Linked DNA regions of Canis lupus familiaris. The protein of the gene in region 2 purifies or fractionates together with the protein of the main gene of each other region. This does not show direct contact. Links are inferred from orthologs where the notes say so. Each region holds a gene or a part of one and is shown on either strand. Other genes may lie near its edges. The genes, in order: CD9 and ITGA3.

Evidence for each region.
Region 1: the proteins of ITGA3 (region 2) and CD9 purify together in Homo sapiens (affinity purification with western blotting; 3 studies listed by BioGRID and IntAct, with this or other methods). This does not show direct contact. The link is inferred for Canis lupus familiaris from reciprocal best matches to the Homo sapiens genes ITGA3 and CD9.

What each region holds. Positions count from the first base shown.
Region 1 is NC_049248.1:7,311,866-7,327,076, reverse strand, and holds the start of CD9 (CD9 antigen), read right to left. Parts: upstream 8,962-15,211; 5' UTR 8,863-8,961; coding exon 8,797-8,862; intron 7,482-8,796; exon of another isoform or gene 7,375-7,481; intron 1-7,374. UniProt on the Homo sapiens protein: Integral membrane protein associated with integrins, which regulates different processes, such as sperm-egg fusion, platelet activation and aggregation, and cell adhesion.
Region 2 is NC_049230.1:26,010,662-26,025,864, reverse strand, and holds the start of ITGA3 (integrin alpha-3), read right to left. Parts: upstream 9,137-15,203; coding exon 8,931-9,136; intron 1,370-8,930; coding exon 1,242-1,369; intron 923-1,241; coding exon 843-922; intron 1-842.

The DNA.
Region 1 (15,211 bases), on a different chromosome or scaffold from region 2:
TGAGCTAGATTTCTATGGTAAGGTCCTGCTGCCCCTTCTGAATCTAAGAGGGCTGGCTGAACTGAAATAGTTATGATCATCTCTTGAAATAGTTATGATCATCCCAGTTGGAGATGAGGAAATGGTCTCAGAGAGGTAAAATAACTTACCCAAGGTCACAGAGCAGGTATGGAGCAACTTAGCCATCAGCTCTCTCCTTCTGTCACATGCATAGCACTGGCCACACAGAGGTCAGTTATTTGACTGCCTGTCACATTCTTGGTGGAAGGGAGCTAGCGAGGTCCCCTCTCTGGGGTGTGGCAAGGGATGAAGGGCCTTGTAAGCTTTTTTTCAGCACACCTTTATGGTAATGAGGCCGCGACCTGGTCTGAACAAGTTCAAGAGTTGAGAAATCCTCCCTTCCAAAGACAAAGTCAGCATCATTTAAAAACCAGAGCCCTGGGATCCCTGGGTGGCGCAGCGGTTTGGCGCCTGCCTTTGGCCCAGGGCGCGATCCTGAAGACCCGGGATCGAATCCCACGTCGGGCTCCCGGTGCATGGAGCCTGCTTCTCCCTCTGCCTGTGTCTCTGCCTCTCTCTCTCTCTGTGTGACTATCATAAATAAATAAAAATTTAAAAAAAAAAAAAAAAAAAAAAAAAAAAAAAAAAAAAACCAGAGCCCTTATTCTGACCAAGAGAGGAGAAAAGTTTTAGCTAATATGGTATGTTAGAATTAAGTAGTTTGGGGATGAAGGATCCAGAGGGAGGGCCTCTGCCCAAGATAACCTCTTTCTAAACAAGAAAACTCATTGCAAGTTTCCATGGCCTGCTTGCCAGACATGGAGCACACATCAGCCAGCCCATAAATCTGTTTTCTGCTGAAAACAGGCATTTTGATCTTAACCAAAATCATCTGATGTGGGGGATTGTTTTGGGGATGTTTTCCTTTAAATTCCAGAATACCACACATTTGTTTTCCATTGTGTATGCCTAAGATGCCTGGCGATTACAAACACACACACACACACATACACACACACACACACACACACACACACACACACGCTTTCTCTATCTCTTTTGTTTATACACTTTAGCCATGTGGACCAGCTAGCTTTCATTCCATCTGTGGGATTGGTTACCACTTGCTTGCATGGCCCTGAGTGGTGGGAGATGCCCCTTTGTTTATATCTTTTAAGCAATGCCATGTGGTGTGTGGATTGGCAGTGTTCGCAATAGGCACAGCCAGCACGGCTCAGTTCAATGGCCCTCCTTCCCCATCATGGGGTGTTCTGAGCACAAAGCCAGGGGAGGGGCAAGAGCTGAGGTCTCCCAACTGCTGTGTCCAACCTATAATCTATCGTATCCCTTTGCCATGATCTCTGTCTTCATTTCAGGTCTCTTAATTATAGCTGCCATTTGCACAAGGCGGGTTTCAACTTATATGCAGATTTTGGGGATAAATTTAGTACAGTCCTGTAAATGTGTTTTCTCTTATGATTTTCTTAATAACATTTTTATTTCTCTGGATTGCTTTATTGTAAAAATGTAGCATATAATACAGTATACAGAGTATGTGTTAATTGACAGTTTATGTTATTGGTAAGGCTTCTGGTCAACAGTAGGCTATCAGTAGTTAAGTTTTTGGGAAGTCAGAAGTTATAAAGAGATTTTTGAGTGAGTGGGGATTGGTGCACTGTTCGAGGGTTAACTGTGTGCTCCTGGGCAGCCAGCACTTTGATACTTGCTATGTCCCACACCCTGCCTGCAGCATTTCACTTGTACTCTTTTTCACAATAGACCCACCAAGTAGGCAATATTTACTTCCATCTTTTAGATGGGAAGACTTGGACACAGCAGCAGCTCATCTGAGATCACGTAGCAAATAAACAGCTGAGCAAGAACTTGAACCCCGGACAGTATGATTGCAAAGCCCAGTTTCTCTCTGCTAAACTGTCTTTTTGATCAGTGTCGTTAATTTCAGAGTCAGAATTTTGTACTTTTGTCCTGTCTCCTTCCCGGCCATATCTGATCTCATTTCAAAACTGTACCTTCTATTCTTAAAGGTCCCAGGAGAGCCCACCTGGAATAGCAGAGGGCTCTACCTTCTCAGGTTGGGAAGGCACCTGCAATGGCCACCTGGCCTGGAGGTGTAACCTGACCCTGGTCTCTCTCTGAGCCCGGCTGCATGACAGACAGAGTTGAGAGAGTTGAGAGAGAGACAGACAGACAGACAGAGATAGACTGAAAATGCATTTCTTCCTGCTGGCCTCTGGCCCAAGAACCTCATCCACACCCTTGCTGCGTTGGCCAGAAAGTCAGTGTGGACACAAGCACTGTTCTGGGAAACAGATTCCCCAGAGTAACTTAACATATCTTCTTCTCATCCCATCTTAGCTACTGGTGCAAGTCTGGCTGCCCAATGGCCACCGTCCTCGTGTCCCCTGTAGGAATGGCCCCAAGGGGAAGGCCAGAACCTCTGCCCTTTCCCCATAGCACCATCCTGCCAGTGAAGGGCATGACCATAAGCCTGTGTTAGAGCCCCGGCTATGGAGTCCTGGGAGCCACCTGCCCCCAGAGGATAATGCCAGCTTCTCATACTAACAGGTGGGCCCTCCTCAGCACTAGGAGAGGAGCTAATTTGTTTGAAATAAGCTTTCTAGGTCTCTTAGGGATTATCTGTCTTAGGGAGTCAGAGCTAGAATATGGTGGGAGTGGGGAAAGTAGGACCAGAAGATGGCCTGAGAGGTGTTCACTGGAGCCTGGAATACACACTGAACATAATAGTAACATGATTAAGCTTTGAAGGCTGACTTTCCTAACAGAGCCAGCAAAAGTCACTGTTTCAGCATCCCTGTACAATGCCCGGCATGTGGACTGAACAAGAAGGACCTTTAAAACCCAGATTTCTGGGGCACCTGGGTGGCTTAGTCTGTTAAGAGGCCTGCATCCGGCTCCCAGTAGGGAGCCTGCTTATCCCTCCCAGAGCTCTCTCACTGGCTCTCCCTCTCTCTCAAATAAATAAATTCAGATCTTCAAAAACAAAAACCAAAAAACCCAGATATCTGATTTTTCTCCAAATCAATAGTCCTCATACCTCTCTACCCAGGGATCTTTGCTAGGATCAAATGAATCCAGGCCCGTCTCCATCAGAGGGCTTCACCTACCCTTGCTACTCAATCAAACTGAATATCATCTCCTCAGGAGCCCAAATCCCTAAACAATCCACACCTCCCCCCTCCCTTTCTAAAGTTCTCAAGGGGAAGGCCAGGAGAGGTTGGCTGATTTTAGCCTCTATTTGGTAGGGAAAGAGGCGGAGGGAAAGTCAGAACTCAGTTCTTCCTAAACAAAAACAAATCACCCAAGCTATGGGAAAACCCTAACCCAAGAAGCAAAACTTAGCTAGAAGCTCATAAAGTCAGATTCTTCATGTGGACTGGAAATACAGAACACTCATTAAATTAATCGAGAGTCAAAGCCACTCCTTGGGCAATGATTAAGCTGAGAGTCAGAGCAAGTATGGGTGGGGAGGCTAGCTCTCCAGGCTAGGCTGCTCTTGATCATCAGGGAACTTAGCTTTTCTCAAATCACCCCCAGTCTCTGGGTAGTGGCGAGGCAACCCACTGCTCATGGCTGAAACATGGGATTCAGAACAGAGAAGAGGCTGCCTGGAGACCAAGAGAGAAAAACTAATATGAGGTGTTCATTGGCCTTCAGAAAAAAGCCAAAAAAAAAAAAAAAAAAGGCATATCATTTTTCTGGAGGCAGGTCTTACTGATTTTGTAGAATTCCCTTAAAAAGTAAGTTAAGGTCCATGAGTCTAGGACGATGGCACACAGTACTTAAAAACCTATTCAGAACTAAGTACTTTTTCGGGGTGGTGGAGGTGGTTGGGGCAGTAGAGGAGGGGAGCTGGAATTACCGGATAGATGTAATTATTATAAAATTATCTCATCTGGAGACAGGATACTGCTTTCCACAGCTGCATGCCATCACTTGATGGAAAATGAAAATGTCCCGGGACCAGCATTACTTTTTCCACAGAATGCAACAGGCAAGTGATCTGCAGTCAGACTTCAAAACCATAAATTAAAAAAAAAAAAAAAAAAAGTATTGTTGAGATTAGCCCTTCTGGTCTCCTGATTTCCATCTGTCCGTTGCAGAGGACATTTCCGAGGAGTTGAGAACATGGGGCCAACAGGCTCTTACCCAGAGTTTCAAAACCCTGGAACAAGGAAGTATGGAAGAGATGGAAAAGACTGCTTCTGCACCTCTGTGGTGGAAAAGACCTGCGGGGGGGGGGGGGGGGGGGCAACAGCAGTCCCACTGACCCCCCCCCACCTGGAGAGTGGGGAACGCAGAACAAAAGCACACACCTCCTCAAACATCACTCTCTTTTCCTGGCTGAACGGACACAGGTCTGTTGAGAATCCTCCTTGTCTACCAACGGGACAACAGGCCACAGAAGTCACGATAACCCATGGCCTCAGGTCCCTTATCCTGACCCACAGCCAGGTGCACCCATACCCAGGAAAGAACAGTTAAGGCTCCTGTTTTCTAGAAGAAAAGGTGCTTTTGCAGGTTCATAGTGTAACTATGAAATTCCAAACGGTGCGACCCAAAGCCACACCTCCTTATAAAATTGAATCGTACCGGAAAACAAACACACAAGTCAAACATGGGACACACAGCTCTGTGTCTAACAGAGAAGATTCACATCTAATACAGAAGGGTGTGCGGAGGCCGACTGAGGTCTGAAGCCACAGACCGACTCATTTAGCTGAGTTGGGTGCTCTGGCAAGGAAGGCCCTCCGTGGGGCTGCTTACTAAAGTGGTTCAAATGCCAGGGCCTCTTCCTTTGAGTACAGAAGAGTAAGGTCCAGAATGGTGCCATGGGCCACTCTGAAAGGAAAGGGGTAGAGTGAGGAACCCCACTCCCCACAAAATCAGGAGTCAGAGCTTTGTTGTTGACAACCATTACAGAACAAAGTGAGGGGCAAGCCATCAAGATTCTGGGGAGGGGAGCAGTCCTATTTTCCTTAGCAGATGTAGACACCTGGCCTCGCCTCACCCCACCTGTCCCCAGACCTGCCGGCCTCAGTACAAACACGGCCAGCTTTACCAGGGCTCCTGCTGTCTGTGTGCTAAAGGTGGAGAGCCATTTTAGGCAACAGTCCCAACTGCTGGCTCAGCCCAACCACCAAGGCCAAGAGCTTCTGGAGAAAGCAGCCCCTGCCACTTCCCTGGGGACATCCTCTGCCCTGACCCCAGAGCCTGAGGTCTTGGGGTCTCTCTGCGCTGTGGCTTATTTTCATAAGTGGGGCTGCCCCACTGTCAAAACGTGGTACCACACATAAAATGGAGAGGGTGTCCTGAAGTGGGAATCCCGGAGGTAGGGTGGGGATCATGAGGCTGGCAGCGATTCAGGAAGAGGAGCAAAGGAAGGGGTAGGAGGATGTGTGTGGAGTGTGGATTCCTGCCTACATCCCTGGTTTCAATTTCTACCCTCCTCTGGGAAGTGCTCCCACCCTCCCCACTGCCTAAATGTACTTCCAGCTGTGGAGTAACATCGGCCACAGCTGGAAGTTTATGGTGTCTGGGGCGAGGCTACTGTGCCAAGGGCATCACACACACTCTGTCATTTAACCCACAGCAGCTCCATGGGGTAGACACCAGCTCCAGCCTGGTGATGGGGAGGCTGCATCCAGAGCAGCCCCACCCAGGGCGACAGAGGGAAATGTGAAGTTCACAGGAGAGAGACCAAGAATCAGGCCCCGGAGGTAAAGGCCCAATGATGCCAGGCTCTGAGGACAAGTCTTGGTAACAACCCCTGTGCATTCCCATCTCCTGACTCAGATTTTGGATTGTGTGGCAAAGTCCCGAAAGGGACGGTTTGCGACCATTTGTTTCAACCCGTTGGTTTTACAGATCAGCAAACTGAGGTCTGGAGCACACAAACCACCTCCCCAAGGTGTTCAAGTGACAAGAGGACAGAGGTAGACCAATACTCAGGTTCTTGTCCAGATTTCCACTGTGTTTTTTGGGAGCAGGGGGCGTGGGCAGTGGAGTAGGTAGGGCAGTCTAGAAGAAAATACAGAAACAACGGAGAGCCAGGAAGTTAGAGTTGTGGGGATGTTGGATGAATAGACTGGTTGCTGGTCTGGCTGTGAGCATCAGAGGCCCTACTTGGGGAGGCCAGAGAGGGTAGGTTTAGCTGTCACCCAGGGTCCCATAGGGCTGAGGCCAGGGCTGGGGCAGAGGTATACCATCTTTCCATCCTGATCATCCCACTACCACTGAGGTAGGCTTCTTCTCTCTGGGTCCTGCTAGGCCACCCATCTCAGCATCCTTTGTTCATGAGCCACTGGCCTCACAACTCCTGTTTTTCAAGGCCCACATCAGATCCCAAATGCCAAGTGTATAAATTCCTGGTCTTGGGAGAAAAAGGTAACTGGTGCCATCATAACAATCCAACCAGGTTCCCTTTAAAGATATTTTTGAGAGCTTGTTTCTACCCAGCTGACCATGGCAGCAGGCTAGGAGGGGAAGTACACTGGACTTTAAGCTAGTAAGACCTCCCTTCAAACTTCTGATGCTATCCTGCCACATGTCCCTGGATAAGTCACTTTACCTCTCTGGCGACTAGTTTCCTGGTCATCAGTACCATGGGGATAATGCTTCTAGCTCTGGCTTGTATCATGGGACTTGGAAAAGGCCTTTGCAGACTGTAAAACGCTGCACAAGTGGATCCTTATCTCCTTTATTCTATCATTTCTACAAGGACCTTGACACAGGACTACTGAACAATCGTTACTTCAGAAAAACGTAGCTTCCTTCCCCAACACCAGCCCATTACCAGGTCCCCTTGTTGATTTCATGATGTAGACCGAAGAGGGCGGGACTCAAGTGTGGTTCGGTCTCTGTGATTCTGGGCCCCTCTTTGGTTCTCCGTTTCCTCACTGTGGATACGAGGGGCGGACTGGATGATCACTAAAGTCATTCCTAATTCTGGACCCAAACATTTCCAGATTCAGTCATGTCCGTTTTAGATGACATAGCTGACCAGCAGCGCCTAGCCCAGGCAGGGGTAGCTTTGAGTATGGGTGGGGTGGTAGGCTGGAGACAATAAAAGACTGAGCAGACACCAGAGGAGCCCTGGAACTTCCCAACAGACTGTTGCCTGTGCCACAGGGCAGATGGGGGTGGAGGGTTGGGTATGAGGGCCTATGGGAGTCTGTGGTTCCTTCCCTGCCTGAAAGCCTGATGCAGCCTAGGCAGATAGATGAGGACGATGCAACAGACTGGTGGGTGAGATTGTGCTGGGGAGGAGAGAGGAAGAAGACTCCCCAAAGGACAGGAGTGGGGTGGGGCTTATCCGCCTTCTCACATTCTTTTCTGGTGCCAGAGGTTGGTGAGGGGAGGAAGCCAAGCCTGGGAGTGAGCTGGCTGGCTGGCTGCTTGTGGGAACACCAGGAGGAAAGAATGCCCACCGCTGAGGCAAGGTAGGGGTGGGTGGGTTCCTTAAAACAGGCCAAGTGTTGGGCAGGGGCACGTCTATGTGCCATCCTCACTAGAACATGTGTTGTGTATGGTGACTCTTGCAAGGGCAGGTCAGTCTCTTACTGGCAGCTCCTGAGAGAGAATTAAAATCTCAAGAGGTTTGCTCCGAGGTTCCTGGGGACCCCAGTGACCAGCGCCAGGGGAGCAAGGTACCGTATAGTTTTTGTTACAAGGCTCTGGTGGCATGCCCGTTTCTAGAGCCATCTCCCTGGTGGCATAGGGGCTGGGCTGCCATTCCAAACTCCCTGACTGCAGAGGAACAAACACTGTCCATCTGTGTGCAGGGGATGTGGCCCTCAGACTCAGGACACACAGGTCCCCTGTTCCTTGCTTCTTTCTGTCTCAGGGTGGTCTCTTAATCCCCCCAAGAGAAGGCGCCGAGGGGGCATCCCCTTTGGCACTGCCTCCATCAGACTTTGCATTTGCAGAGAGGGGTGAGCACGGCCAGCAGTGGGAGTCGGGCAGCTCCCGGCCTGGCCTGGCGTCCTCTCCTCCTCTCCGGGGGAACCGCCACTCTCCCAGGCCGCGCCTAGCCACTGGGTGGGCTGGCCTGGGGGTGTCCGCGAGGCGGGAGGGCCCGGGCTGCCAGGGGGCCGAGGGCACCTGATCTTCCCCCGGAAATGGAGAAACACAGGACTGAAAGCGCCAACGGGCAGCTGCCTCGCCTCTCCCCAACTCTGAGCTCTCTCCGCTTCAGATACTTATCGCCTTTGGGGGAAAAAAAAAAAAAATCCAGACAAGCTAGTCTTTCAGGTAGTTTCGAGGGAGTTCCGACTTTCCCACGGCGGCTCAGAACCCGGCCTGCAAGCACCTCCTCGACCGTCGAGGGGGTCCCCGACTCTCACTCAGGTCGGGGTCCCAGGCCTCGGTCCTGCAGACGTGCCATCAGCTCTGGGCTGAACCCTCCCCGCCAGCGCCCGCATCGCCCCCTCGCGGGACCCCACCAGGTCTCGAGCCGTCCTGCCCCCCCGCCCCCCGAGGGGCTCCGCTTCTCCCGCCGCCTTCCCCCGCCTGCACTCGGAGGGGCTGGGAGGCGAGGGGCAGCCGCGGGCCGCAGCGCAGAGCCTCAGCGAGACGGGGTCCGCGCCCCCCCCCGCCCCGCGCCCCCGCCCGCCCCGCCCCGCCCGGCCCGGCCCCGGGGAGGGCGCAGCTGCGGCCGCGGCGCCCCGTGTCCCCCGCTCGGCGTCCCCCGGCGCGGCCAGGTCCCCGACGGACAGGTGGCGCCGAGGAGCGCGCCGGCCGCTCGCCCTCACTCACCCAGAAGACGAAGTTAAAGCCGAAGAGCAGGTATTTGATGCACTTGGTGCCTCCTTTGACCGGCATGGCGCGGGCGGGCTGGCTGGGCCGGGCTGGCGTGGGACCGGGACGCGCGGCCGGGACGAGCGGCACCACACTCGGGGCCGAGGCGGCGGCGGCGGCGGCTGCGGGCGGGCCTCGGGGCTGCACTTTTAAAAAGTGCCCTCCTCGCTGCGCGCGCCCGCCGCGGTGCGCATGTGCCGCGGACCCCGCCCCCGGCCGGCCCGGCCCGGCCCCACCTGCCCCGCCCCGGCCCCCAGGCCGCTCCCGCCCGGCTTCCGGGGCTCCCGACTCCCGCCCGGCCCCCCCCCCCCCCCCCCGCCCCCCCCCCCCCCCCCCCCCCCCCCCCCCCCCCCCGCCGGCCCGACCCCTCCTCCCAGCCGCCCCGGGATCGCTCCGGGCTCCCCTCCCCCCGCCTTCACCTAAGAGCTCTGGGGCGCCTCGCCCTTCGGTGCGGGCCTTGCGGATTCTGGGCTTCCCGCCCGAGCCCCCCACGTTGGGAGCCCTCCCTCGGGGTCACTGGGGTCCAGTCCCCCCACTCAAGGCAGGCTGGCCGCGGGATGGGGACCCCGTGCTCCGAGCTGCCCGTGAAGGGACGCCGCCTGGCCTTGTCCCTCCCTGAGGCGGCTCCTTGCAAACTTGCTTGGCGGAGCCCACCCTTGCTCGCACGTCGTGCGGGGGAGCAGGAATCAGAAGCTGGCAGTCCAGGTGGGAAGAGGGGTTGGAGGCTTGTAGGAGTAATTTTTCAAATGTGATTACCCAACAGTAACAGGGCTGGGAGTGTCGGGTGGTCCTGGAGAGCTCCGGGGCCTTGGGGTGTGCGTGCCCGGAGGGGAGAGAGCGTTTGTAGCCGGGCTCCGGCTCCTGCTCTTGCCTCTACTCCACAGCACCCTCCCTCTTGCCCCTTGGCCTCCGATGCTGAGCTCTACACCTCTGGATGCTGAGTTCTGAGCTCGGCTCTCCTCAGCTCAACAACTTTCTGTAACTCCCCAGTGTTCAATGACCCAAGGCGAAACTGCCCATCTTGCATTCTGTCCTTTGTCTTGTGTCCGTGCCCAGCACCGCTCTACCTGGACCACGCCGCCCTCCTCAGCTCCCCGACTCTGACTCTGCGTGGCCTAGCCCTCGCTGTGGCATGTGGTGTGTGCCCTCTGGCTGCCTGGCCCTACCCTCTTCAGTTGTAGAAACTATGAGGCTCCTCAAACATTCCTTTCCTGTTTCTCACCAAAGGATGAAACGATTCCCTCTTCTTTTGAAGTCCCCAAGCCCCTTTGTATCTTTTTTTTTTCAAAATGAAGTTTCCTTTACAAAAGCAAGAAACATCAGAAAATACCAAGAAGCAAAAAAAGAACATAACTCAAATTTCACCCACCAGAAATGGAGGGTGTCGCACTTTGTGGCTCTTATATTAATGCTTATGACCACTCTCGGTTGTCTCATTGATTCATTCAAAAACATTGTTCAGCATCTGTTCATAAGGGGCATCATTAGGGGCAGGAGCTGGGTGTCCACTGGTGGAGGGATTCAGGCAGCCAGACAATGGGAGAGAGTACTGTTCGGGGTCACAGAGATAGAGCTGGGGCTGAGGGAGCTCAAAGGAGGGGCCTCTGGCACAGGTTGGAAAGTGATGCTGCTGAGCCAAAGGAAAAGTCGCTTCACAGGAGAATCTTGGGCAAAGCTTGGGGCTGGAGCTCATAGTTGGGGGAGATCCGTGGGAAGTAGAGGTGGAGACCCAGCTGATGACATGACGGGGAGCCTCCCCTCGCACACTTTGCACTCTGAGGTCTGGGGCCCCTGAGGGGTTCAGGTAGGGAGCGAGTTCCATCTGCTGTGTGATTTAGGTTGATGGCTACCTGTATTTTAGGTAGTTGCGTGGGGGGAGGGCAGGAGGTGCAGGCGGCAAGCCCCTTGGATAAGGATGATTGTTTGTCTGTTGAGACCTTGGCACAGAGCTTTGAGGGATTACATGGAAGGTGACAGGGTGTCACGTGATGTCAGGGGCCCTACAACTGAGTAGTGTGAGGGGAGCATGGGACACAAAAGGTGAGGTGAGGACATGTGGAGAGTAGTTAGGAGGCTCTAAAATGGGTCAGGTGAGAGACAGAGTGAAGAGGATGGGGTGAGGGGGTGTAGGCTAGAGAGTGCAGCCAAACCAGAAGAGAGGACAGTGTGTGTGTCTGTGTGTGTGTGTGTGTGTGTGTGTGGGCAGGGGTTGGTGGGGAGGAGAGATCCCAGCCAGAACAGCAGGAGCTGGATTCTGGGGAACTCCATTCACGTGTTCTAATGCTTCTTGGGAGCCTACTGTGATGAGTAAGGAGAAGCAGAGAGACCAGGGTTCCCCTCCGTGTTGCATAATACCAAGAGTGGCCAAGTGGAGGAATTTTGGTAGTGCTTTGTCACTCACCCTAATCTAGTGTCCAATGAGGATGGTGGGGGCAGGCAGCGTGTGGGAGTGGTAGAAAAATCAGACAATGTCCCATTGTGCTGCTCTCAGGCAGAGGCCGCCTATCTAGAATCTAAGGAAAGAGGATTTTATCTTTTTATATTCTTCTCTCCTCTACTCCTCCCACCCTGCCCTTTCACCAACATAGGTGAGAGGAGTTCAGTAAATATTTAAGCTTATGATAGAAACTACTTCTTAGGGTAATGTGCATATTGAATGAGGTAATCCACTGAGACGGCTTAGTACAGTGCCTGACACACAAGTGTGCTAGAAATGTTAGCTATTGTTACTATTACTGTTCCTATTTATACTCCAGAAATAATGGAGGGGGCTATAGTTAAATTCCAAATTACAAGCAATCAAGGGAGTCCCTATAATGTGAGTGTGGAGATCTGAATTCTTGATCCGACCCATGGGTTTATTTTGGACAAGTCGCTTCCTCTCTCTGGGCATCAAGCTCCTCACCTGTAGAACGAGCATTTTGGATTAGGAGATGGCAGGGTCCCGTCCATTCTGACGATCTATGGTGCCTCTGAGCCAAAGTGTGTTTATTACAGGCAGTTAGTTCTACAGACAACCAGGAAGGGGAGAGATGGAAAAAATATGGTTTGCTTTAGCTGGAAGGGGAAAATCTGGGTAAGCCCCTGAGTCAGAGATCACATGGAGGCAGAGAGGGCTTCCAGACTTTGTGGTGCTGGGAGTGGGGAACGGTCCCTCCCTTCCCTCAGGGCATCCTGTTTCTGGAAAAACCCGGATTCAGGCTGCGGGTCCACTTTGGCTTTTGTGCGCCCCCTGGTGGTAAGATTTGAACCGTCGGGGGCCAGGCGGGCTAATGCCACACCCATCTCCCCGGGAGTGCTCATCCCTCTAGCCGCGGGAGGCAACCGCAGGACCCGCGCTCTCACTGGCCCCCAACGCCCTCCTGGCCACCCCACCAGGGGTCATTCTGGGGGTTCGCTTTCTCCCTGCTCCTGCTGCTGCAGCATTTTACCCTGCCGACCATCCCTTCTTTCTAGACAGTTCTCCCTCCGCCTTCCCAGTGCTGTACCATGTTGGTTCACTCCCTTCACTTCTAGAAACTTCTTCCCTGCTTCTCTTACTAAGTTCAAATGCCGTCCCTTCATGAAGCCTTCCTTGAACGCCCCGGTCTTTTCCTCCGTGGATTACCTTGTTTGCATCTCCCTCACGTGTGACTCTTGACTTTCCTCATGTTCTCTTGTGTGTTCTCCTTTTGGTGGTGAGCTCCTCTAAGGTATACTTCACCTGATGAACTTCTGTGTTCTCCGAAGCAGCCAATCCCTTGCTGGCGGGTCAGCGCCCCCCCTCCCCGACCCGCTCCCCAAAACCTGTGTGGAAAAACTGGAGGAGTGGGCCTTCCTCAAGCTTTGCTCCCTGCCATGTGCTCTCCTCTCAGCTCTCCGTGGGCACTCCCTCCCTCTCATCATTTCTCTTTGGAGCTGCCTCTCTCTAAACTCATCGTGTTATCCGAGGGCCTATTAGGCATTTCTCCTTTAATGGCCCTTCACATCCCAATCCCCCAAATGTGTGAGGATGTGTCACCTTGTACACCAGAGGGCATTTCATGCATGTGATCAAGTTAAGGATTGTGAGATAGAGGGGTTATCCTGGATTATGCAGGTGGGGCAGGTGTGATCCTGGGAGTCCTTATGAGAAGAGACAGGTAGGTCAGAGGTAGAGAAGGAAATGTGAAGGTAGAAGCAGAGGTCTGAGTGATATGCGGCCATGTGCCAAGGAATGCAGGCAGCTGCTTCCAGAAGCTGGCAGCAACAAGGAACCTGATTTTCTCCTAAAGCTACCTGAAAGAACAACTCATTTAAAGATTTTATTTATTTGACTAGAGAGAGAGAGAAAGAGAGAGAGAGAGTATGAAAACTAGCACAAGCAGAGGGAGCAGCAGAGGGAGAGGGAGAAGCAGGCTCCCTCCAAGCAGGGAGCCCAAAGTGGGGCTCAATCCCAGGACCTGGGGATCATGACCTGAGCTGAAGGCAGATGCTTAACTGGCTGAGCCCCCAGGTGCCCCAGAACAACTCATTTTAGACTTCAGGCCTTCAGGACTGTAAAATAATGTGTTATGTTAAGCCACTAAATGTGTGGTAACTTGTTACAGAAGCAATTGGAATTTCAAAATAAATATCCAGATCAGAGTTCATGACTTTGAGGGCCTCTCTGCTCCAGAAGCCATGCTTTTCACCCACTAGCTCCAAAATTCACATCACCTGTGACCACTTCTCCCTCCAATCCCATACCTGCTTCACGAATGTGAAGTATCTCTTGTACCACTCCTGGCCGTGACTGCAGAGTTGTCCAATTTAGAGATAAGGAAACAAGCATAAGGCAGGAGATAGTGACTTACAGCCAAAGATCAAGGCTTCAGGTCTTCTGCTTCCAGCTCCCAGTGGGTTTCTCAGCCTTCATTCCTCCCCCCCTGTAGGCCAGGCCCTCAGAACTCTTCCTAAGCCCAAACAACTGTCCTACCCTTGTCCTGACCCCCTGTCTTCACTTGTCCACTCTGCACACATCGCTCCACCCATTGCCTTGCACTGTCTCTGGGCTTGGGCTGCCCTGGGTTGCTCTACTCCAGCCGTACCTTTCCACTGCATTAAACACGAATAGTCAACGTGGGATCACCCACGTATAGTGGGCAGTTCATGAGGATGCCATGGGGCGCTGGATGAGAAGAGAGAGGTTGCAGGCCAGAGCACGCCATTCTAAAAACCCTTTGTGGGAGCGCCTGGGTGGTTCAGTTGGCTCTGGTTGTGCGTGATCTTAGGGTCCTGGGATCGAGCCCTGCTTTGGGAATCCCTGCTCAGCAGGGAGTCTGCTTCTCCCTCTCTCACTGCCCCTCCACCCTGCTTGTGTGCATGCTCTCTCTCAAATAAATAAATAAAATCATAAATAAATAAATAAATAAATAATAAATATTAAAAACCCTTTCTGAATGAATCTTTCTGCAAGCTCCCTTTCTGTGACAGCCACCCCTGCCTTTGTCCCCTGCCCCAGCTTCTTCCTCCCTTTGTGTCCAAGCCTTCTGTCCCTATGGAATGGTGGAGCCCTCACTTGGCATTTCCAGTTTGTATACTCTAATTCCACTCCCGCAGCTCAGTAAAGCGTCAAGTATTTCTCAGGATCTGTCCTGTTTAGAGACTAGGGAGTGGGAAGGAGTTGGAGGTAATGAATATTTAATATATTTTTGTCTTACTCCTAAAGCTTTGCTTTCTTCTTTCCTGCTCATGTTTCCTGCTCCCAAACCTCCCAACTCCCTTTGCATTTACACCATTTTCCTTAGCACTTTCATCTTCTAACACAGGGGAGACTTTTCCCATCTATGGTCTGCTTCCTCCTGCTGGAATTTAAACTCTACTGGAGTGGGTGGTTTGGACTGCCCTGTTTGCAGATGTGTCCCACGTTACTTGAACAGTGCCTGACACACAGTAGGTGCTTGATAAATATGTATCGATTGAACGTATGCAAAGCTAATGCTCCAGTTCTAAAATCATCACAAAAGCCCTCTTGTCTTAACTGATGGATATTTACACATCTGGGGTACTGTGTGTGCTCCTGCATCTACGCATCTATGTCTAATTTCCCACTTCCACCATCCTCAGCCCCAGCTCCCAGCTCCAGGCCCAGGCCCATCTTCCTCTCCTCCCCTGGATGCTGCTGATTGGGCTTTGAGGACAGTGGGGCCCCCCCATTCCCTGGTACCCTTGGTCACCTCAGTCTGCTCTCCCCCCTTCCCGTACTCTTGTAGAGATTTCTTTCTGGGGCAGCCCTGGTGGCGCAGTGGTTTAGCGCCGCCTGCAGCCCAGGGCGTGATCCTGGAGACCCTGGATCGAGTCCCACGTCAGGCTCTCTGTATGATGCCTGCTTCTCCCTCTGCCTGTGTCTCTGCCTCTCTCTCTCTCTGTCTCT
Region 2 (15,203 bases):
AGCAGACAACTGCTGAAGGGCCTGGGACCTGCAATTGCCTTAAATGGAATGCTAGACCACCTGCTGTCCATAACATGGTTCTAAAAATGGCATTTCAGTGAACTGATGCAAACCCCTGGAGCTTAAAACAGTGTTCAAAGGTGAAAGAAATGCAACAGGGATGACCATGGGGGTGGCGATTGATTAGAAGGGGGGCACACTTTCTGGAGTAATGTAAATATTTCTTTAATGAGTGTCAGTTACACAGGTGTTTCATTTGTCAAACCTCATTAAAACTCAATATCAGTACATTTTGCTATCTGTAAATTTCACATCACACTTTTTTTTAAGTGGGGGGGAAAAAAAAGGAAAATCGCCTATCTGGGATTCAGAAATTGAGACCCCAGGGGCTGACACTGAAGAATGTAGCCAGGAAGTGACAAGTGACAGCAGGGAGTGGCCCCCAAAGCCCAGGGGGTGAGCTGGGGTCAGAAGGGCTGTGCCTCTTCCGCGGGCCAGCCTGTCAGGAAGGAGCGGGCCCAGGCCACGCTGCCCCGGGCTCTCTCTGCCCTTTTCTCCTCAGTTCCCTCAGCTCATTCCCATGAAGGGTGAGCACCCCAGGAGGGGAAAGGAAGTGGGTGATTCAGACAGGACCCAAGCCATGCCAGGCCCTGGAAGCATGCCATAAGTGAAGGATCAAGGGGACACTTGGGCCCATGGAGACATACAGTCATATAAATGGACATTTGCAAGGTCCCAGCTCACTCACTAAAGACTCCTCTCCCACCCTCTGCTTCCCTCCCCAGCTCCTGGGAAATGGAGAGGGCAGGAGTGGGGGGAGCGGACAGTAAGTGCCCACTTACCAGGACTCTGCCCGCAGGGCCCTGGCTGGCCACAGTCACCCCGAGCCACATGTCCTCAATAATGTGATGGTCAGGGTCACCTGTGGGCATGGGAGGGATCATGAGCCAGGGCACCCATCTTCCTGGTGCTTGGAGCCTCCAGTGGGCAGGAGTTGGTCTTCCTGGCTTTCCACTACTGTAGGCAGCCCTCCCTTGCCCTCCTCCAGCTCACCAGGAATCTCAGCTCTACAAATCCCATGTAGTCCCACTTTCCCCTAGAGCTCCCTCCCCCCAGCTGGACAAGAAGACTAGAAACCCAGGTAAGCCTGATAGCTCCTCCAGGTCACCCTCTGTGCTACCTGCCCCCCTCCCCGACCAGGCTCCTGTCCCCGCGCTGATCCTCAGCGCCTTTTCCCTCACTTTTCTCTGAGATGTCCATCCGCTCACAGTCGTTCTTGTGGGCAGTGAGTGGGCACAGGTACACGGCACCGGTCCGGTTGGTATAGCCATCAGGCACAGCGAGGTCCTGGGGAGCACCAGCCAGGAGCCTGGGGTGGGGGGTGGGGGGCAATGAGGCTGGTGGGCCTGGGCTCAGACTTCCCAAAGCCTGCTGCAAACAACTTTCTGTTCAATATGTTTGCTGAGCGTCTGCTGCGTCCCTGGTGCCAGGCTGTGTGCCAGGCTCTGGTATCGGGAGATGAATGGATCCTGGCCCCTGCCCTCCAGGAGTGGCCAATGCAGGAGAGGCAGGCAAGAAAACAGATATCTGCAGTGAGGGCCTCGGGAGAGGAAAGCAGGGTGCAAACCTGCCCAGACCCAGTGTTGGGGGGGTAGTCTAGGAGGCTCACGTAAGAGGGGATCCTGGTCAGAGTCTGAGAATGATGACCAGGGCTCACCAGGAGAAAGGAAGGAAGGGCACTTCAGGCAAAGGTATGACATGTGCAAGGGCAGGAAGCATGAGCAAGCAGGGTGACTCAGGATTTGCAAGGCTCTTTATACAGCAGGAGCTGGGAACATGGAGGAGGGACCCAGGGGGCAGGGGGACCTGGGGGGGGGGGGGGGGGGGGGGGGGGTGGAAGGGGAGCCCAGAAGGGCAGGTTGGGAAGGGATTTTTAAGCAAGGGAGTGACATGATCAGATCTGGGGTTTGAAAGGAATGTTTGGCATCTGAATGACATGGTCAGATCTGGGTTTTGAAAGGAATGCTTTGGCCTCTGAGGTGAAGGTAGACGGGAAGAGAGAATGACCAGGGGAATCCCCGCACAGGGATCAACTTCCAGAGCGGCCTGAGAACACGTGAAGGGGGTAGGGGCAGTGCTGGAGGCCTGGGTCCCTCCTAGGTCTAGGGGCTAGCACTGAAGAATGGCAGCAGGAGATGACAACTGAATGCAGTGGGTGTCCCCAAAACTGGAGCCGCATGAGCTGCAGCCAGCAAGGCCCCTGAGTGACCTGCGTGAGGTCTACTCTCCCTGGCACGTCACTGCCACTACCCTGAGACAGGCATACAAGGGCTGGGAGTGCTGGGTACCTGGCCCTTTGGACAGTGGGGCCACAGGGCCACATTCTTGGCAGGTGGGCACGAGAGTGGGGATTGGCCCCAACCTGCCCAGCACCCATCTTTGGGGAAAATGACTGCAAAGCAAGTTCCTACAAGGGTGCTTAGGGCCCTCGCCACCCACCCCATCCCAGACAGGTGGCTAGAGGAGAGGAAGGCAGATCAGCCTGGAAGCAGTATCTCAGAAGACAAGGTCCTTGGCCCACCAGTATGAGAAATCCCCAGCATATTTGTTAAAAAACGGCAAATTCCTCAGCCTACCACAGACCATCTGCATTGCATCTGGGGGTAGGGCCCTAGAACCTGCATATTTAACATGTATCCCAAGTACTGTGCACCTCAGTTTGAGAAGACAGCTCTACCACCCTTTGCTCTCGGGATATCACCTCCTGGTAGCCTCTAGACATTCTGCTAGGATTGCCAGCCAGATCCTATGGACACAGCCTCCTGGGTGGCAGGTACCTCCTAGGTACCCCTCGATCAAGCTCCAGCAACACTATCACCCCGAGGCTCTGGGCTTCCTGCCAGAGTCTGGAGGTACACAGCAACGGCCCCGCCTGCAACTCCTGCCTGGGACCTGTGAGTGAGGGCTCCAGGGAGTGGGCAGGGCAGGGCCTGGGCATGCCGGGACCTGGGGTGCCTCCGCCCACTGGCTGTGAGGAATGCACTGCCTGGGGTGCTGGGAAGGGGTGGGATCTCTGCCTGCGCCTCACATCTCAGCTCAGAGCTCACCCTGGGAAGCATCCCTGGGGGCAAGGGTGCAGCTTCTCCAAGCAGAGCAGTGCTAGGAGGGGCTGGGGGAAAGCTGGCAGGGCACCAGGGTGGCAGCCAGGCCCCATTAGTCACCCTCTGCCCGGCTGGAGAGGGTGCTCGGTGAGTCCGCTGCCTGACCACCCATGGACATCTGCCCCGGCGCCACTGACAGGTGAGAGAGGGAAGCAAGAGCCTGTGGGAAAGGAACCTAAGGGCCTGGTTCTCGGCTTTGTTCTGCCTCCTGGGGCAATTTTTTCCGTCTCTGAGCTGTAAGTGCTTCATCTGTGAAATGGGAACAGCAGCTGTCCCATCAACCTCCAGGGCTGTTGAGGGGAACAAACAGGTTCATTCTTCACAAGAGCTTTCTGACTCCGAAGTCATGGCCAACGTGAGCACTGTCTGTCCAGTTTCTGGCGGCATCAGGGACTGGCCCTGGCTCACCCCCAGGTGTTCCTCCAAGCACCCAGGAATCTTTGCCCCATCAGGTTAGTGAGTCTAGAACAGAGGGCAAACAGCAGACTGGTTCAGCTATTTACAGGGAGCAGAGGAGGGGACCTAAGCAGTACTTCGTGGCGGTGGAATCACTGAGGTGGGGTGTGTTCTAGCGTCGTTGTCCCGATCTGGCTGGAGGTAGAGGCTGAGTGTTGGCTATCATGAATTTGAAGGGACAGGTCCAGGCCTAAGGGGGCGGGTGGCAAGGAGTCCCTGGGGAGCCCTGGTTGCTTTCCAGGGTGTGAAATGCAGTGCAAGTATGGCTTTGCCCCAGATGCAGCCCTGACCAAGCTGTTGGGGCATGAGACAGCTCAGGAGCAGGGTGGCCATGACCTCTCAGCTTTGCTCATCTCAGGGGGAGTGGGCTGAGGGACCCTTCCTCTTAGCCTCCTGGGGTACTGAGCAGGCAAAGCCAAACAAGAATGGCAACTGGGGTTGAAATAAACCCCTTTGGGCAGCCCGGGTGGCTCAGCGGTTTAGCGCCACCTTCAGCCCAGGGCCTGATCCTGGAGACCCAGGATGGAGCCCCACGTCGGGCTCCCTGCATAGAGCCTGCTTCTCCCTCTGCCTGTGTCTCTGCCTCTCTCTCTCTCTCTGTCTCTCATGAATAAATCAATAAATAAAATATTAAAAAAAAAATAAACCCCTTTACCATCTATACCCACTCAGCCCTCACCCTGCTCCAGCTTTGTGCCCACTGATGGGTTATGGGGCAGGGCGAGTGCCCTAATTCCAGCCCCACATCCCAGGCCCCTCCCTCCCCAGAGATTCCAAAGGAGCCCCCCTCCTCCAGCCCCCCTGGAGTATTTTTAGCTTCTACTTGGCCTGCTCAGAGGCCCTTTAAGGCCCTCTGGCTCCCAGCCCGGGATCCAATGGGTCTACAGCCAGAGGACCGGGAGTTAGATGGGGAAAGGCATGTGCAGAGGGTCAGGTCCAGCTTCCTTAAGCTGCAGCCAGGTGTGGGAGAGACCTTGCTGGCATGTAAGTGAAATGTAAAACATATATGCAAAGGAACACCTCTGCTGCCTGCCGTTGGGTCCGGTCCAGATCAGTGAGTCCAGAAGCCGACCCCTCCCAGACCGCCACGGAGTCCAACCTCCAGGCTGTGGTCAGAAGGGAGGCTAGTAGGATGCTTTGCCCAGCTCTTGAAGCACAGAAGAAAGGAGATCTGACCTCCCCTCTCCTGGAGCCGGGTTGGACCCCTCCAGGAGCTAGGGGGATGGATGAAATGACCTCTCAAGGGCTTTCTGACAGCTTCTCAGCCTCTTCTTTGGCTCCAGCCAGACAGCTCATCCTGGCCTCTGGGGAGCCCCTTGAACTCCAAGTTCCATAAAAGCACTTCCTCAACCCGGTTCCATCACTCTTCCTTGGGTGGGGGGCTGTGGGGGTTGGTGTTCAAAGCTAATGCAACAGCCAAGCTGAAAACGGCAGTATGGGAGGAGGCTGGGGAATGGAGCTAAGGAGCATTCAAGACACCAGGTTGGCTCTCCTTGCAGAGAAGAAGGCTCCCTGGGGGACACTGGGGTGGGGTGATGCTCAGAGAAATTGCCTGTAAGATTCAACTTCCCAGGATCCTCATCAGGGAGGTGCCTGGGAAGCTTTTAGTTATCGTGGGGGGGCCAGAGGGGCGAGCATTCAGACCACACGCCCCATGCCTTACTCCTCAGGCCGGGCGGGGGCGGGGGGCAGTGGCGCAGGGCACTGCTACAGTTTTGAGTCCAGGGGTGGGGGTGGGGGCAGCTCTCAGATGCTGGATCCCAGCTCTGTGCCCATCCTGCTGCCCGAATTAGCCAACTCCCCAGAGGCTGCTTGCTCCAGTGAGCTGAGCCGCAGCCCTCTCCATCCTCCCCCCACATCGCCCTTACTCTGCCCACCCAGCCCCCTCTCCCCACTGGTGACTCAGCCCTAGAACCAGAGCAACAGGCTGGAGGAAGCAAGAGAATGAGAGAGGACAGGAGAAAGAGGCCATGTCCCCAAACAAGGCTGTTTTTCTCATTTCTTCTCCCTCTTGCTGGCTCCTTAGTATCTTTTCCATGTTTGATCCCTTGGGGCGTTCTTCATGTTATCTAGCCTCAATCCCTCATGCTGCAACAGACATCTTCCTCCTTTGTTCAGCTCCGGCCAACCCCCTTTCACTTCTTTTTCTACTAGATGAGTCTTCCCCTGCCTTCTCCCCAATTTAAAGCTCCCTGGCCTGGGCTGGTCACCGGAGGGAATGGAGAAGGGCACTCGGGGTACAGGCCTTCTGCCTGCAGCCACAGCTGCTCTGTCTGTTTCCTCCAGCACGAGCCTTGGAGGCTGCCAGGCGCCTGCCCTGCCCAGGGAAACATGTTTTAGGAGAGCACAGCAGGTAAGCCCGGTTCCTACCTACCTTAGATATGACCTCATCTGCCGGGAGCCACAGCCACCCCCGCCCCAGGCTCCGCAGACACCCTCATTTCCAGGCTAGGGCAAAGGGGAGAGAAAGCTCCAGTGGTATCTTCCCTAGCCCACAGCATCAGACCAAACCAGGACAACTGGATTCTCAGGAGGGAGCTACAGAGCAGGGGCTAGGGGCTGGGGGCAAGGACCATTGCCCAGAGGAACAGTCCCTCTGCTTCCCCAGGGCTCTTCACGCCTCTCACAGAAGCCCAAAGCTCTTGGGGCCTTGGGCCTGCTCCTCACTTCTTGCTTCCAGAGCCAGGGGAGCTGGGGCCTGGGTTGGGGTGAACTCCAGCCCAGAGACAAAAGAGATAGGGAACAAAGAGGGTCCACACCTGGGTTTCTAACCATTTCTAGAATAAGGCCATCTTTGAGAATATGATGAAAACTGTGCTCTTCCCCTCCTCCTGCCCGCAGAACAACGCACAGATGCATGATTTTACATGTATTTTCAGGGGTCCCTGCACCTCCTGCAAACCTTCTATGAGCCCCAGGCTAAGAGTTTTTATTCATGACCATGAAACCTCTCCCCTCTTCCAAAAGGACTTGTAGACTAACAGAATATAAGACTTGACTTGTTGGTTGCCCTAAGCTGTGCACTCAGGCAGCTGTTCACATCTGGCTATACAGCTGGCTGCAACTAAGACCAGATGGCCCAGCTGGCTCTCCCAAAGGGCCAAGGGGCAGAATTCAGCAAGAAGAGGAGATGAACCAAGATATAGAACTACCCTGGGGAAAGACAGGATACCCAAGAGAATGGCCCAGACCTCTGTTTAGAACTTCCTGCCTCTCCAAGGGTCATTAGCTTTAGAACCTCCTGGGCTCTTAGCAGGTCTAATGCCATCTCTAGCCACCCAGGAAGAAAGGTAAAGCCCCTCTGCTCAGCCATCTTGGGTGAGGCACATGGGTAGTAAGAGCCTGGCTTCAGCACAAGAGCACTAACTGCTCCCCGGAGACACAGGCATGTACAGAGCCTTTTACACACGCTGTCTCACTAGAGAGCCCCACTGGCACCTCATGAAGAAGGCATGCTGCCCCGCCTCCTTCCGCCAACATGTAGAGACGTTAAGACTCAGGTATTAGTGACAGTTCCGAGACTGGAATGTGGCAGTGGGACTCCGGCGCCTCGCCTCTTCTCTCTCTCCAATCGCAAGCTGCCTCTTATAGGCCAACAGAGGCAGGAAGGACTCTATAGATCCAGGTCCAACCCCTTTTTGGAGAAAACTGGCCCAGAGAAGGGAAATGTCTTGCTCAAGGTCACATGGTGGGTAGGGGGGATGGGGAGCGGGGTTTACAGAGCCCATTATCTACTCCAGCTTTTCATTATTTACTCTTGCTTTCCTGATCTTCTTTTTACACTGCATTGCTTTATATCATGCAGAGTCAGTCTGGAAAGTCAGAAAATCTTTTTCTGGGCTGGGGCAGAAAAAGCGCCAATACAGAAACTTGTGCTGATGGTCACTTTTAAGGTCTGCAAAAGATGAAAGGCTGGCCGAGGGCATGGTGCTGCGCTGGGAAGGATGTGGTGGCCTTAGCCTCTGCAGAAGCTAGATGGAGGCCCAGGTAGATAGGTATACTGGGCAGGGGCTGGGCCGACAGGGCAGAGGCCAAGGCTGGGGCAGAGTTTGGACTTTGGACATTCCAAGCTTCCTCAAGTTTCTGCAGGCTCCAGCCAGAGTTGAGAAAGGTTACAATACACCCTGTATCAGACCATGTCCTCTTGCTCAGTGGAGTGAGACACCAGGTAGGGATAGCTGTCTGGTAGGTCCCCCAGCCCAGAGACTTAGGTGGGGCCTGCCTGACCTTTCCTAACACCTTCTCTCCTGGGGTAGCCTCCCCTCCCCTCCCCCAGCGGCCTTCTTCCCCTGGCTGTCAACCTCAGCACCTGAGCCTACAGAAGAAAAATCCCTGAAACCTGGACTCTAGGCAGGAGAGTGCCGGTGGCAGCGGGAAGCAGGAAGCAGGGTAGGAAACAAACAGCTGGATGCAATCTCCTTCTCTCCTCTCTCCTGTGGGTAGCTCTCCCCCCTTCCTTCTCCTTACAGCTGTCAGGGGGGGGGAAGTCTAACAGAAGAGAAAAACACCATTTCCCTCTTCAAACCAAAACAAACACACTCAGGGTTGAAGATTCAACATGAATCTGTGGAATGTGGGGAAGATGTCTGGTGGGAGGGCGTCCCTGCTGGGGGTGCGGTGGGGGCAGGAGACCAAGCAGGAGTCCGGACAGCTCCCTCTACTTCCCCATCTTCAAGGGGTCAGAGGGAGCTCCCGGACAGCTCCAAATGCCCAGACTCGCCCATCACCTCACCCTGCAACCGCCAAGCGCCAAGCCCCTTAGAAGGCCCTCCAGTCTGGCTCTGCAGAGGGTGTGGCTGGCATGGCCCGCAGGCAGGCAGACTAAACGCAAGGTGTAAAGGCCGGCGGGCGGGAGGGGGGAGGTGTTAAACACACATGCCCACAGGTTCTTCCCAGGAAAGGGGATAGAGGGTTCCACTGAGTGTTTACCTTGCAGTTTTCCCCAGGTCCCAGCCCTGGAGAGAAGTATTCATAGATTAGATACTAGGTCGACAGAGTGGGAGGGGGCTTGGGAAACGGGGACCCCACTTCCACTTTCAAGAGAGGTTTAAAGGGTTGAGGGGCTGAGTTTAGGCAGGTTCCGGCCGGTCAGCACTTGCTAATGACTGCTGACCCCATCCCACACCCACTCCCTCCACTTGCCGCCAGACCTCGGCCGCAGAAGGGCTGCCCAGGCCCCCGCCCCCTTAATCCCGGTCACTAGAGCCGGCGGCCCGCGGGCCTGGAAGCCAGGCTGCGCCCAGGCTCGGATCCGCACCGGCGCGCGCACGGTCTCCCCGCCCCGCCCCGCCCCGCCCCGCCCGCCTCACTTACAGGTAGCGCCGCTGCCGCTCCGTCTGCCGATGGAGGGCGACCGAGTAGCCGAAGAGGCTGCCCGGGTTCCTGGCCTCTTTCACCACCAGGAATCGGGTGTCCAGGTTGAAGGCGGAGGCGACGCGGCCGCCGGCGGCCACCATCAAGGCGAGCGCGCAGAGCACCGGGCGCGGGACGCAGGCGGCGCGGCGGGCGCGCGGGCCCATGGCTGCGGGGGCGGGGGCGGGGGCGGGGGGCGGGGGCGCCCGGCGCTGGGAGCCAGGACCCGTCCACCTGCCGCGCGCTCGGCGGGGGACCGCGGAGACCGCTCCGGCGGGCGCGTCCCGGAGCCCCGCAGCGCTGCGAAGTTTCTGGCCCTCAGCCGCGTCGGTGTCACGTCCGCCCAGGGTCTGCGCGCCCCGATTCCTCTCCGAGGCTCGCCGGTCTACCGTCCCGCCTGCCCAGCCGCCGGTCACGGCCCCCCCGCCCCGGGCACTGCCCCCGGCTCGTCCCGGCCGCGCCCCCTTCGCCCTGGGCTCCGCGGCGGATCTGGGAACGCAGACCCGTGGATCGCGAGGAAGACGGGAGGGAGCGGTCCTCTCCGCGCGCGCCCCGCCTCCACGCCCAGCCCCGCACCTCCCCACCTTGCGCGCCCAGCCGGGGCTCCGCTTTCCTTCCGGGGAAAGAGAAAAGGTCCCGGCTCCGCCACCGCCTCTTAAAGGGGCAGCACCGCCCCTCCCTCCTCATCCTCCCCGACCAGGCTCCGCCCTCTCCCCCAAACACCTGTCGGGAGCCCCCAAAGGCTTGGGTTTCCCCTCTCCGCCCCTTGCTTCTCCTAGGAAGCGTCACCTCCCGAGCAAGATGGATTGGCCGGGCGGGGCCGGGGGTGGGATTTGTCTGGAGGCTGGGCTCCGGCCGCTGCTGCTGCTGGCAAGGCCGTTCCCGGCGCGGCCACCTCGGCGGGCCGGCTGGAGAGCCCCGGCGTTGGCGCATCTGGGAGCCCACATCTGCGCGCCGCTCGGGGCAATGCCGGCTTCGCCTCCGCAGCGCTGTGAATCCCTGAGAGGCGGTTGGCGGTCTCTGGGCCTTCTTCCTCGCACCCAGGCCCTTCGCTGTCCTTGTCCAGATGTGCTTCTCTGGCCCGCCCGCACCCACCCACCCTGACCCGGGCTGGATATGTTCCCTCGGCAAAGCCCGACAGATATTTAGCAGTGGTACTAACCAAGCGTTGCTAATTGTAATGAGCAGCAAGACAGCACTTCCCCCACAGGGCTCCGCCTTCTGGTATCCCTCATACACCCTCCGGCGTGTAAATGAGTCCCTTCTCCTTAGAATGCACTGTGTGGCCAGGGAACTGGGCCCAGACTGCACCCATATCTCATCCGCTCCTGCCTTCAGGGCCCGGCACAGCAGAATCCCAAATGTCTCCTCCTCCTCCTACCCGGGCTCAGCCTGAGTGTTTGGAGATGGGGCGGGGACGCCAGCCTCCGTAGGTGTGTAGTGAGTGGCACTAGGTGGAGGTAGGTGGGCAGGGCCCAAAGGCCCGGTCATCCTCAGAAGAATCTAATTGAAAGGGAACTTCAAGAGGTCACTATGTACTTTCTTGAATCTAACTCAGATTTTTCATATTGCAAGTACAAAGACCCACTTCCCCTGAACATTGTTTTCTCCAGGCTGAAGGAACTTTCTTCTTTTGGCCCAGAAATTCAGCCCTCAGCCCTCACTCTCTTGCAGTTTGATTTAGAGTCCCTGTTTCTGGAAGTTTATAATAATAAAATGAAAACTACTATGTAGAAAATGCTAAAAAAAAAAAAAAAAGGAAAAAGTGCTAATGCAGCAGGAACTATGCTAAGTACTTTACGAGGATTATTAGATCAAACCTCACAATAATCTTTGAGGATTATCTGCTTCATGAGGAACCTGAGACTCAGAAAGGCTAAGCAACTTGGTTAAGACCACACAGCTTGGATTTTCATCATGTATTATCTGACCTCAGAGTCCTTCTTGACCACTTGTGCTAATCATTAACATTTGTACACTACTCAGGGCAGGTCTAAGTTTGGGGGGGGGACCTAAACTTGTACAATTTGGCACCCTCCCTAAGGAAAAGAAAAAGGAGTTCTGGAGTACAGAATTAGATTGAGAACCTGGAGGGGGACTTGAACATTATAGTGTATGAATTGTTTCATGTGAAGACTCATTTCATCCTCCTGTCCTCCCTGCGAGGTCAGTATTATCATCTTCATTTGACTTATGAGGAAACCTGGATGTCCAAGGTCAGGCAGCTCGAGGCAGGCAGAGCTAGCACTGGAAGCTACTGACCACACCTGTGTCTGTAAGAGACGAGTCCCGAGCAGATGTTGGTTAGATAGCCAGATGCATCTGAACAAAAGCAACTGCATAACAGCGTGGTCTATGGTGCTCATCCCTATCTGCCCTTAGGACAGCATACGTTCCTGAGCTGTGACTCCCAGAGCCACCCAACCTCTCCCCGTGGTCTGCCTTGTGGCCCAGGGTGTGCAGGGATTAGGAGACATCTGGGGGCAAGGCATAGAAAGCTGACCTGAAGTTACCTTATTCTCCTTTGGGCTGGCTGCCAGGTCCTCCACCTTGTTTCTGGAGAAGGGGAGACAGCAGGGGCCAAGGAAAGCAGGGGCCAGGGTGGATGCTCAGTGTGGGCAAGGGGTCCTACCTGAAACAGCTTTGAGAATCCTGTGATGACAGATGGGCTGTATGCCAGCCATTATCTCTTGGGCCATCCCAAACAGGAATGACCAGCATGTCCGATCCCAGGGCTGGGAGCAGGAAAGGGATGAGGGATGGTTTTTCCACTCCAGGGGAGTATCCTGAGGGAATGTGGAGTGGGAGCAGGGCGCCCGGGAGTGGGGGAGGGCTCGAGGTAAGGAATGTGGAGGAGTGTCAGATAGATGGGGGTGGGGGGAGACAGAGCTGGAGGAGGGATGTTGGGAGATGTGGACCCTGGAAAGGTCTCTGAGCTGAAGAGATGCAGGAGAAACCTCAAAGTTCATGACAAGGGTCTGAAGTCCCCTGGTTCCAGTGACAAATCATCCACAGCCTCATCTCGTCCATCAGCTGACTTTATTGTGTCAACTCTTCTCCATGGAGAAGAGCCTCACCTAGAAAGGTAGAGAGAAACAAGGGCACATGGAATAACATGTGTGAAGGAATCAGAGTCCATTTTTCTATGTTTGACTGCTGATAGCCGTAAGCCCCACCTCTTCCTCTCCCTCTAGGCCCCACACCTGGATCAGCTGATAACAGAGCCTGGGGCCATGTTCCCTCCTTTGGTGTCCAAGGGGGATTCAAACCCCTTTCCTGCATAAAGGCTCACCTTGCTTAGTCCCTAGCCACAGTGAAGCAATCTCTTCTTGCTCTCTCACACCATTTCAGACCTTGCTCAAAAGGCCAGCCCTGCTCTCCCCAGAGACCTCAATTATGTAAATAGTAAACTTTTTCATACCCTCCTGGCATGTGTGGCGTCATCAGTCTTGACATCAAGCAAAACCCTGGGTGGGGTCCATCTGCTTCTGCAGGAGACTGTGACAACAAGCCAACTGTGGGTTCTGTTGTGGAGGCAGGGAGGCTTCTTGGAGGAGTATCCAGACAAGGGAGAAGGAAAGGACTAGCAAGATGGAGAGAGAATATCAGAACGGAGGGAGAGAAGAAAGCAGAAGAGTTGGGACCTGGTTTGGGGTGAAGTTTTCTCAGTTACAATAATGGTAACGTCAAGATTCTGTAAAGGTGCCTCGGTTTATTCAGGGCTTGCTAGGTTTGCATCAGCCTTCGTCTGAGTAACCGCCACCCACATCTCAGTCTCCAGGAGCCCTGAACTACACTGCTTGCTCCCTCACTTCTCACAGGAAGATCGGAGTGCAGATGGGCTGTGCACAGGGAGCTGGAGAAGAAACATGGAGCAGAATCGGCGTGCCTTGTGGATTGAGTGCAGGCTCTCTTCGGCCCTCTCACCTTCATCAAGTTACTTTCCTCCTCCAAAACTCGATTTCTTCATCTGTGCAATGAAAGGGCTGGATGTGAGTTCTCATTATTCCCTAGCCGGCATCCCGTGTGTCCCAGGGCGCTGAAGATTTGTTGAACCAAGTGGACCAAATCTTTGCTATTGAATTAAGACTCAGGTCACTATCTCTGATCCGCAAATGCAAATTACTGAGGAGGGAAGGAGGAGCAGTGAAGCATGAATGGGTTTATCAGATTTCCTTTCTCCTGTGACCTAGATACCACAGGGCAGGCGCCCAGTCCCTAGCTCAGAATCCGTCAGCCTCAAACATTCACTGACACCCTACTACGTACAGGCACAGAGCTGAGGACCCCCAGGGGTGTCCAAGATGAAGTGGGACATTTTTCGGGGAGGCCGAGCTCTCATCTTGACCCCACATTCGGAGAGCTCTCACATGTAAACAACCTAAACATGCACCGTGTTGTATCTTAGGGCTGGTGCTTGTGGGGCAACGGGAGGGGGGCGCAGTGGGGGTGACACGCAGTCATTCTCGAATCTTCCAGCCTTTACAATGACTTCTAGTCTGGGCTTGCAGTGTGATTATAGATACCAGACTCACAGGTTTGTGGGAACACAGCACAACCGGGGCCCAGAAGTCCCTCACTGTGTGGTAATTATGCTCACTGTTGAGTACACCTGCATTTCTAGCACTCATGACAGTCCCTCGGACATGGGAGGTCTTCGCCCACCGCATGTCCAGCCGAATCCACTTGGCCACATTCTCTTTATGGCCCTAAAACAGAGAACTCCATAGAGGTGAGTGAGAGGCCAACTCTGTCTCATAAATATCCTCTTGCCCCCCGTCCCCTCCCCAGGCCTGGGATCCTGTTGGGACAAATGTCTTGGCTCAGTGAGTTGAAAAGGAAAGTCAGAATTCTGAGGCATGAATCGCTGTGCCCACTGACTCACTTCCTCCACCCCACCCACTCCGGACCCAGCTGGGCCCTGAGTAACAGGTTGGAGCCTCCTCCCTGCCCGTGTTCCTCGTCCCAGCACCCACCTCCCTATGGACCTCACCAGTGAGCTGGCCAGCGAAGCAGGGCAGTGAAACCAGCTACCCCAGATTGGAAATTTGCTTGCAACTTTTAGGGAGCTAAGGAGCAGAGGACAGGGCAGCCAGGACCAGGGAAGGGGGGGGAGGGTTGGGGTGGTGGGTGCAGCAGGGGGAGGGCACTAGACCTGTTCTCAGGTCCCTGAGTCTGATGGATGAGGCAGTGCACCCTCTGGAGTTTGATCTGGGAGGTAGCAGAAATTCCCTTCATCATTAAGGGCCCTCTCCTTTCCTGCCAGGATCACAGAAGTGCTAACCATGAGGCAACCTTCCTGTGGCCTAAGGCCTTGTTCCTGAATGTTCCTATTAAAAGGCAAGGAGCTCTACCTGGCAGGGTAGCACGTGGGCTCCCTGGCAGGGACGGGGCAGGATGTTACAGCTTCGCCCACAGAAACCAGGGCCCTGGGGGGATAAATGATTCAGGCTGCATGAAGGTAGGGGGAGGGAAGGAAAAGGCCAGATCTGGGACAAAGAATGATTTCATGGGGGTGGGAGGGGCGGGCAGGGGTTCCCGACAGGCCCCGGGACTGCCCTCTCTGGTTAACTGTTAGCATGATGGGGCAATGAGGAAGGGATTTCATTTTCCTGCAAAACGATGCCCAAAGTCTTGGCCTTTGCCCTCTGGAGGTCTCCTTCCCCACTGTGTCCCGGACTCCTCTGAAGGGAAGAGTTGTGTCGAGGCCAAACCCTCAGTGGCAGACCTGCTCTGGGCGGCACTCCTGACAGTGGCTTGGAGGCGGAGCGTGGACATAGGACACAGCCCACCTTGACTCCTGAGCAAGACAGTGCCCAGGGGTACAGATGGGGGAGGACAAGCAGATGCACACAAGGGCACAGGCCCAGTGAGGTGCCATGGGCAGGGCAGCAGGGCAGCAATCGCAAGCACAGAGGCTGTAAGGGACATGATCAGGAAAGCCTGCTGGCCTTAGAACTGAAGGGAATGGATGGCTTTGCATCTGGCCCTGAGCTAAGAGCCTTTGTGGATTTGAAAGACTGATCAGGGGCTAATGCAGGAAGGGACATGAGAAAGGATGAGGACCTGCCCTATTGCAGCTGTGGACATCGAATTATCTCTCAATTTCATTTGAGAGGTATTTGGGTGAGGATGGGGGCAGGATCTGGTGGCCAGCGGGTGCAAGGGACACAAGGAGAGGTCAGTAGCAGGGATTGCTCGTGAGTCTGCAAGACCTCTAGGGTCTCTTAAGTG